2 linked regions of the Oryzias latipes genome follow. The protein of the gene in region 1 purifies or fractionates together with the protein of each later gene. This does not show direct contact. Links are inferred from orthologs where the notes say so. Each region holds a gene or a part of one and is shown on either strand. Other genes may lie near its edges.

Region 1 (4,328 bases):
CTATCTATCTTTATCTATCTATCTATCTATCTATCTATCTATCTATCTATCTATCTATCTATCTATCTATCTATCTATCTATCTATCTATCTATCTATCTATCTATCTATCTATCTATCTATCTATCTATCTATCTATCTATCTATCTATCTATCTATCTAATCTATCTATCTATCTATCTATCTATCTATCTATCTATCTATCTATCTATCTATCTATCTATCTATCTATCTATCTATCTATCTATCTATCTATCTATCTATCTATCTATCTATCTATCTATCTATCTATCTATCTATCTATCTATCTATCTATCTATCTATCTATCTATCTATCTATCTATCTATCTATCTATCTATCTATCTATCTATCTATCTATCTATCTATCTATCTATCTATCTATCTATCTATCTATCTATCTATCTATCTATCTATCTATCTATCTATCTATCTATCTATCTATCTATCTATCTATCTATCTATCTATCTATTCTATCTATCTATCTATCTATCTATCTATCTATCTATCTATCTATCTATCTATCTATCTATCTATCTATCTATCTATCTATCTATCTATCTATCTATCTATCTATCTATCTATCTATCTATCTATCTATCTATCTTATCTATCTATCTATCTATCTATCTATCTATCTATCTATCTATCTATCTATCTATCTATCTATCTATCTATCTATCTATCTATCTATCTATCTATCTAAGATAGCACAAGGGTTAAAGATAGGGTGAGGAGCTCGGTCACCTGCAGAGAGCTCGGAGTAGAACCGCTGCTCCTCCACATTGTGAGGAGCCAGTTGATGTGGCTCAAGCATCTGGTCCAGATGCAATGGTCACCTCCCTTGGGAGGTGTTCCTTGCATGTCCCACTGGGCAACAAAAATGGCGAGCAATACTGGAGCTATCCAGTTGTCCAGTTTTGATCCAGATGCCAGATCAGACAAGTAAAACAAAGACATACATGAATCCAGTCGACAACAAGTGGATCCATCAGAACTCAGCAGGGAGGTAGGTGCCAGTATTTTTGTCTGCTCCTGATTAACAACAATTGGAATAAAGAAACACTCAGAAACCCAATTTGAAGCCTAAATATCTTAATTAATGTTCGCCATCTTCCAACAAATGCCACAAGAACATGTTAAAACACTAAAAACACAATCTTCATCTGAGTGGGGTTTTAAATGGTGATTCTCTTGAACAATTTTCAAATAAAAGATGAGAAAAAGAACAACATTTTCTTTCTGAAGGCACAGTGACTTTATTCTGATTAGAAAACAGACAATGCAAATAAAGAAAAGTATTAAAGAAATAGCAACAGCAGAATTGCAGCTACAAACATGGTGTTTTAAGAGTGACATAATACTTAAATCCTGTTTCATGTGCGATGATTGGGTCTCGTAATTTAGAATTAAAAGAAGAAAGAAACACAATAGCAAAAATCTGGATTATTTATTCAGTAACAATGTAATTTTAGAAACTACAAAAACAATAAAAATAATAATATTAATTTGTCAAAAGATTATATTATTCAATATACCTTTTCAAAATGTGGAATAATATTTGGGTATTTAGTACCCAAAGGGATAAACGTACACTATTTTAGGAATCATTTACTTGATTTTTTTTTGTGGATTTTTTTTAGCTTTTACATTATTACATAGGATTTGTCCTTCTCGGCCACCGTATGATGTCGTGGCGTTTCCCTATGTGTAGAGACTAGACCTCTGATTATTTTTAAACTTTTCATTGTTTAATTCTTCGGAATATACTGTGGACATTTTCGGCTTCAGTGAGTAAGGATGAGACGCGCTGGTTTGGGTAAGAAACGAGTCTAAAACTGGGAAGTTTCAGATCGCTAGCCAGCTAACATGGTAGCTAGCATTAGCTAATGTTGTTTTCACTGGTGGATGGATGCAACACTCTGAGGCGTAGTTACATTTTTAATAAGGCTCTTGGCTTTATTCTCAGCATTTAATATTGTTTTTTGTTGTCTTGTGTAGGTGAAGGAGGCTCCGGGAATTATGTGGCGAGTGGCTACAGTGTTTATGAGGAGGAAAATGATCATTTACAGGAGGGACTGAGAGCTAAAGTCAGCGCCTTGAAAAGTGTAAGACCAGCTGCGACACAAAACTGTGCCTTCGTCTGTCACTATTCACTTGTTTCTGTTACCAATTTCTAGTTTTAAAAGCTATTTTACAAGTTTTACTTATCTAACAATCAATTCCTGTCTCTTGTCATTCCCAGCTGACTATTGATATTGGAACAGAGGTTAAATACCAGAATAAGATGTTGGAAGATATGGTGGGTTTCTCTTTGTATTTAAATGGCAAAGAAGTACCTTTACAGTTACTCTAAAGTCCTCACTCCTATGAAAAATGGTTTTAACATGTTCTTGTAGCAGCTTTCTCATGATGTATGGCATAAAAAGAAACAAAGATTAAACTTGTGTTTCTGAGTATTTCTTTATTCAAATTGTTTTAAATCGGGAGCAGACAAAAAATAAATCAAGCTTGAAAAAGAGTTTATTTTTGCTGTAGAAAATTGATTCTGGCTAAAAACAGCAGAATCATAATTAAAAGACAGAGGGACAATAGCTCAAAGAGTGGGATTTTAATAGTACCGACTTAGTAAACATTTTCTTGGATTTGAAGCGGTTCCTGATCCCCCCCTCATCTCTTCACAGGACTCGGACTTTGATTCTACAGGCGGACTGTTGGGAGCCACCATTGGCAGAGTAAAGCAGCTGTCCAGAGGGAGCCAGACCAAACTGCTCTGCTACATGCTGCTCTTCTGCCTTTTTGTCTTCTTTGTCCTCTACTGGTTCATCAAGCTGAGGTGATAAGAGCATCTTGTTGGACTTTGCCCCTTAGCTCCACGTCTTCATTCCCATTCACTAGCAGCTCTGACCTAAAAAAACACTTGTTCAATTGGTTAGGTGGGGATTTTTTTCTTTCGAGCATCATTTTGTTTCCTGATGTCCCCTAAATGAGCCATGAAAGGGCTTGAAATAGAAAATAGACAAGAAATAAACTTTGAAAGTGTTCATCTTTAACAAGGCAAATGACCCAGGAAAGCACCTTGTATACCATTTGTATACCTAACACATTAGTATTTGTGTTGCACAGCTACAGCTCAGTTATGATTAAACAAACAGGATCCACAGTCCAAGATACAACAGCTGCTGATGAGTTATTTTTTGTAAATGAGGTTAAGGTGGTTTGAGCTGTGGAATAATTAAACACAATTTGGTGTACTTATGTCAAGGAGGGAGTTGATATGGACAGGTTTGAACACAAGTACGGTAATTACAACTCATGTTGATGAGTTTTGGACAGCCAAATGAATTAAAGGCTGCCGATAGTCCTAAAAACCTAAAATCACAACTAAACAATTCAGTCTTAAATGCTGCCAGAGCAAAGTTTCCATAATAAAACACAATTTCAACATTGTTTTTTGCTATTTTAATTCTTCTGCCACTGATTTACAAACTATGAGCATAAACATTTGTTATACAAAATTATGTCAATCTTATTTCAACTGTTCAGTCCCATAAATGTGGACACACACAGTGCAGCACATAAGGGACACGTCTGTATTACATCACCTGACATTGTAAATCACCACAGAGACCTTCATTCTTGAGTAAAAATGTAAATAAAAACAGATTTTATGGCATCGTTTGTGTTTCCATGCTGGATGTGTTCAAAGCGTTTAACATAACTTCATCAATAAAAGAAGCAAACAATTACAAGAGATTTCCAAACTAATTTTTTTTTTACAAATATCTGAACAGGTCAGGATGGTTTAAAATTGCACTCTTGTATTAATTATCATCGTCTGAGCAGGAATCTGCTGCAAATGACATCACTTCCGGGGTAAAGTGTCCATGAACTTGCAGATTATTCCCAGCATCACCTCATCAGCCCCGGCGCCGATGGACAATAACCTGGAATCCCTGGAGGAGAGAGAAAAAAAGCAACAACACACTTCTGTAATTAACTGTCACTCAGGTGCTCATAAGTCCAGTCTTTGCATGAAAGTTCAACTTCAAGTCTCTAGTCTGTCAAACTTTAAATTAAACCGCAAATCTTAAGACTTGCAGTAAAAAAAATGAACATTTATTTGGTAATTAACTAGTAACCCTTGTGCTATTCTAGGCACTTTAATATTGGGAGTTGGGTCATCTAGACCCACTAGACAGTGCTCTGAACCTTTTTTCTTCAATGATTTGTGATCTTCACTGGTGTCCATGGATTAAATGAAATCTTTCCACCTTTGTCGTGGTAGGGAGAACACGTCAAAGTAAGG
Region 2 (4,415 bases), on another chromosome or scaffold:
AAAACAAAAGTTGATCTTTTTGAGTGTGATTTATGGGGTAAAAATTGAAACACTTCCTGATATAGGGGTAACAACTTGTGACATCTCAGTCAGCCAGAAGGACATGACCAAGCTCCACACCTGGAGTCTGGATTTCAGTTTGCGCCCGTGGTGTTCAGGTGTGAATGAAAACCAGTAAGCTCATCTCATCCTCTCCCCGGGGCTGAAAAATAAAGGACAGACGGAGAAAAACCACCCGACCCAAATTCACCTTGTGTACATCTCCGAAAAGATCTGGCAGGGGGTTTCATCCTCTATATGCTTTTTCAGTTTTTTTAACCTGCAGGTTTAAAGCTGTGCACATCCAGTCGCTGCCCTAAAGTTATGTTATGACAACCAAGAACGTTGAGCAGCAAGAGCAAGAAGTGGCTTGAACAGATCTCAGGGTTTCTGACATGTGGGGGGTAGAAAAAAGGACCACTGTTGAGGTGTCTAGCCTGAAGATACAACCATCAGCTTGTGTACCATTAGGCTGCCATGGGAGACTGTCTGGGTCGGTGTCTGATTGTTGAATGAGGAAAACAAACAAACAGGAGCTTTTAATATGTTTTGCAGATAATTCTATCAAAGGATGCTTCCATGAACTTTACTTACCCTGCATTTATTCAAAAGTTACACCCTTGAAAATCAGCAGACACCATAGTGATGGAGATCTGGCCTGAGTTGATTGAGATGTGGCTTTGATAAAGTGCCAGCAGCGCCCAAGGAAGATTTTACTTGCATTAAATCACCAAGGAAGTTTGGTCATATTTTTCTCAACATGTTCTGGGAAATCCAACCATGCTATTTTCACACAGTACTCTGTGTCAGAGCCAACCTGTAAGTGATAAGCTCACAAATCTCTTTTCTCTTCACACTGACATCCTCTCCAAAGGGATCCACCACTTCATCTTGCAAATAAAACGTTTGATTTTCTTAACTTTAGAGTCTTTGATTGCAGGTTAAAAGGAAAATTCTGGATGGAAAAACAAAAATATTCTTACATCCTCCCATTAAAGAAAAAAAAACACTTAGATCCAGTCAGTGAGAGCTGACGAAAGGTAGCCTCAGGACACACATGTCAGTCTTTCCTGTCACATGTCTACATGTCAACAGATTATGCTCCTGCTCTTAAAGCTTGTGGGTCAAAAGGGTTTGTCAGCTACTGCTTTTCAGAGGTGCAATGACAAATGTTGCCCACAACTTACTTTTTGAATTGGTGTATCATCAAAAACAAAATGACTTATTATCTAGAGCTAGAGTCCAAAAATAAAATTAAACATCAAAGTTTTCAACTTAAAAAACGATTGAATGTTATTTGATGAGTAATTTATTTTCCAATTCTTTATTTTTTTTAACCATTAAATACTTATAATAAACATTAAACAAAGATAATATAGAAACTAATTTGTTGCAACACAGATAATGTGCACTTTTTATGCTATTTACCATAAATAACAGCTTTACCGCTTTAAATTTGATTATTAAAAAAAGAAAACATAAATGTCAAAGAGAATACTCTGTGTAGTTTTTTTGAAACAGAGTGAGCACTCCTGTTACTATGGAGCTGCTCAGCTTCCGCTTTCTCACTTCCGTACACAAATACTTGGCTGATGACGTGTACACTGCCCTACCGTTAGTAAGCTAGCTTAGCCGGCTGTCAGAATAAGGGTCGCTAGAAAGAAAATAAAAAAGGTAGCGATACAAGAAAAAGGGTCTTCGTCACACATGTAAAATGGAGACGCTTTACCACCAAACAAATAAGTGAGTAAAATGTATTTCCGTAGAAATATTGCAGACCTGTTTAGCTAACTTTAGCTCACAATTTTAAGGCTAACATGTTTCCCCAAATAAAACAATTTAATATAACCAATACGTATTCTTTTCTTTTTTTTTAATCAGTAAACGTATTTTTAAAATAAAGGACAAATATTGAGCTAGTTGCTTTTTATTAACCTGTTTTGTTTTTGGCTGGATTAGGCAAATCCAGGAGGTTCAGTGTCTGATGGGAAACCTGGAGAAGACAGACCGTCAGTCAGTTCACTGTAAGTTCTTCTGAATGGATCATTTGACCGTTCTTAACATCTGTCATCCTTCTTTTCGGTGTGTGTTTGCTTGTGGTGTTTATTTCTGTCCGGGGGGGGGGGGGGGGGGGTTGTCATTGTTTTGGCTGATTGCTAATGTTTTGAACACACAAACAGGACAGCGGGGGGTTGAATTGCTCCTGCCTGGTCGTTGTCTGTGGATGGTGGTGCCTACCCCATCAGCCCAGGGCGAGGCTGGTCCCGGTCTCACTGGCACAGGAAGTCGTTGGGTGGGAGCAATGACAGAAGCTGAGAGGGCATGGCTTTTAGATAATGTTAGGAGCCAGGCAACCTTTGTTCCTTCCACATATGATGACATCACTTTGTTGTTTCTCCCAAGAAGGACATAGGTCCATTGTGGAGGGTCATTTTGTTACTAGCTGCTGATCTGGGAGGGGAAACTTGGGATAAATGTCATTTTTTTTCACAATTATTGGGGGATTTAAAAGTTTTCTTCTGTTTCTCAATTTTAAGTGCTAGAGAATGAACTCCAGATCCGGACTGACCAGATCCTCAATCAGCTTGAGCGACTTGAGATCCTGGTCAGCAAGGAACCACCGAATCGCCGCCAGAACGCCAAATTGTAAGTTTAGAGTCACTGTGGTCATAAAGCTCCAAAAGTGACAGGGGTGTAGAAGACCAGACAGGCAGCCCGTCCTGCCCCGAGGCGTCGAGTCTCTATAAAAACATTTCCTCAGAAGCCCCGTCATCACCAGCATTCCTGCTGCATCGAGCAGATTCATCTTTGAGCTGGGTAAACAGGCCTCGGGGGACACAGTTTATCCCATCCCAGAGCTTTCCTGTGATCCCAGCAAGTGCCTTGGACCTGGGAGGGACTCTTCATTTCAACTGCGTGAGATTGGAAGTCAGCAAAAATGTTATTATCCAAAGAATCACGAAAGCTACAGTCAAACTTTGCGACAAACTAGTGATAAACAAATTGAAACAAATCAAAAGCTGATGTAAAATGTTTTTATTCCACTTCTAATATTTCTGAGCGGGTGGGATGAACACGAAGACCTCATTGCACCGTGTTTAAAGATCCACTCTGATCATCTTTTGTAAAAGCGTTCCCTATGGTCTTTATAATTATGTTTATGCTGTTTTTAGCCAAAAATAACAAAAAAAAACTGTGTTTTCTGGGACATAGTTTCTGCAAGCGGCAGAAGAAAAGTTGCCTCTGAATTGTGTGGGTGGGATCATTGGCGTGGTGTAACCCCGCCCCCCCTTCCTCTTCTTGTTGCTGAGAGCTCGGAGGAGGGAGCTTGTGCGTATTTTCTATGTAACGAAGAAGCTCTTTTTCATTTTTTCGTCTGCTCCTGATTCCCAACAATTTGAATAAAGAAACATTTCTTTGAGTCTAATCTTGTTTTAATATCATCAGAAAAACACTACAAGAAACATGTTAGAAACTCTTTAAGTGAAGAAATTAGTAATCACAAATGTAAAAATATTTTTAAAAGGTCATGAAAATTTTCAATTTACCCTACAAATATGGCATTTCTCTCAGCTACAACCAGCTAGAAAGAAATTAGTTTCCTTCAGCTGAGCGGATAAGGTAAAGATAAAACCCCCCGTACACACACCAGTCGTTTGATTAAAAAAAAAATAATAATTTTCTGCTGTCTCTCAGACGAGTCGACCAGCTGAAGTACGATGTGCAGCACCTACGGACCGCCCTACAAAACTTCCAACATCGACGCTATACCAGAGAGGCGCAGGAAAGAGAGAGGGAGGAACTGCTGAGCCGCACTTTCACCACAAACGTAAGTTATAAGATCCTGAAAAAAAGGCTGAAATACAAACTCAGATTCTTTGAAGTGTCCAACAAAATCGGCAAACATCTGTAAAGTTGTTTATTCAGGATATTGATGCTGGAAACAAAGTAATCCATGAAAATGTCAGTATTAAGCTAAACAGTTGTTTTGATTAACAGGATGCAGATACATCCATCCCCATTGACGAGACTCTGCAGTTTAACAGCAGTTTGCACAACGCACACAGAGGAATGGATGACCTGCTGGGCAGCGGCAGTGGCATACTCAACGGCCTCAGAGATCAGAGATCTACACTCAAGGTTTGTGTGAAGGAGCCCTAACCTACCAAACTATAAAAAAAAAAAATGCCTGCGAGCGCTGCAGAAAGGAGCCCGCATGGTTGTTTGATCAAAATTCCTTATTGTTACTGAGCATATTCCCAGCCACAGAGTGACTCCGTGTTTCCAGGGAGGAGATGGGCTTCCTGGTTTGGCTTCAGACGTCCTCTTATCAGGGTGTGACTGATCACCACCCATAGCCTTGAACCTCAACCATG

The links.
Region 2: the proteins of bet1 (region 1) and gosr2 purify together in Homo sapiens (affinity purification with mass spectrometry; 3 studies listed by BioGRID and IntAct, with this or other methods). This does not show direct contact. The link is inferred for Oryzias latipes from reciprocal best matches to the Homo sapiens genes BET1 and GOSR2.

Annotation. Positions count from the first base shown.
Region 1 is NC_019869.2:10,286,716-10,291,043, reverse strand, and holds bet1 (BET1 homolog), read left to right. Parts: upstream 1-1,677; 5' UTR 1,678-1,819; coding exon 1,820-1,838; intron 1,839-2,020; coding exon 2,021-2,127; intron 2,128-2,264; coding exon 2,265-2,321; intron 2,322-2,703; coding exon 2,704-2,859; 3' UTR 2,860-3,762; downstream 3,763-4,328. Other genes in the region: probable acyl-CoA dehydrogenase 6, read right to left, coding at 3,885-3,975. UniProt on the Homo sapiens protein: Required for vesicular transport from the ER to the Golgi complex. Functions as a SNARE involved in the docking process of ER-derived vesicles with the cis-Golgi membrane.
Region 2 is NC_019866.2:6,916,208-6,920,622, forward strand, and holds the start of gosr2 (Golgi SNAP receptor complex member 2), read left to right. Parts: upstream 1-1,610; 5' UTR 1,611-1,753; coding exon 1,754-1,782; intron 1,783-1,998; coding exon 1,999-2,063; intron 2,064-2,576; coding exon 2,577-2,685; intron 2,686-3,735; coding exon 3,736-3,868; intron 3,869-4,038; coding exon 4,039-4,179; intron 4,180-4,415. UniProt on the Homo sapiens protein: Involved in transport of proteins from the cis/medial-Golgi to the trans-Golgi network.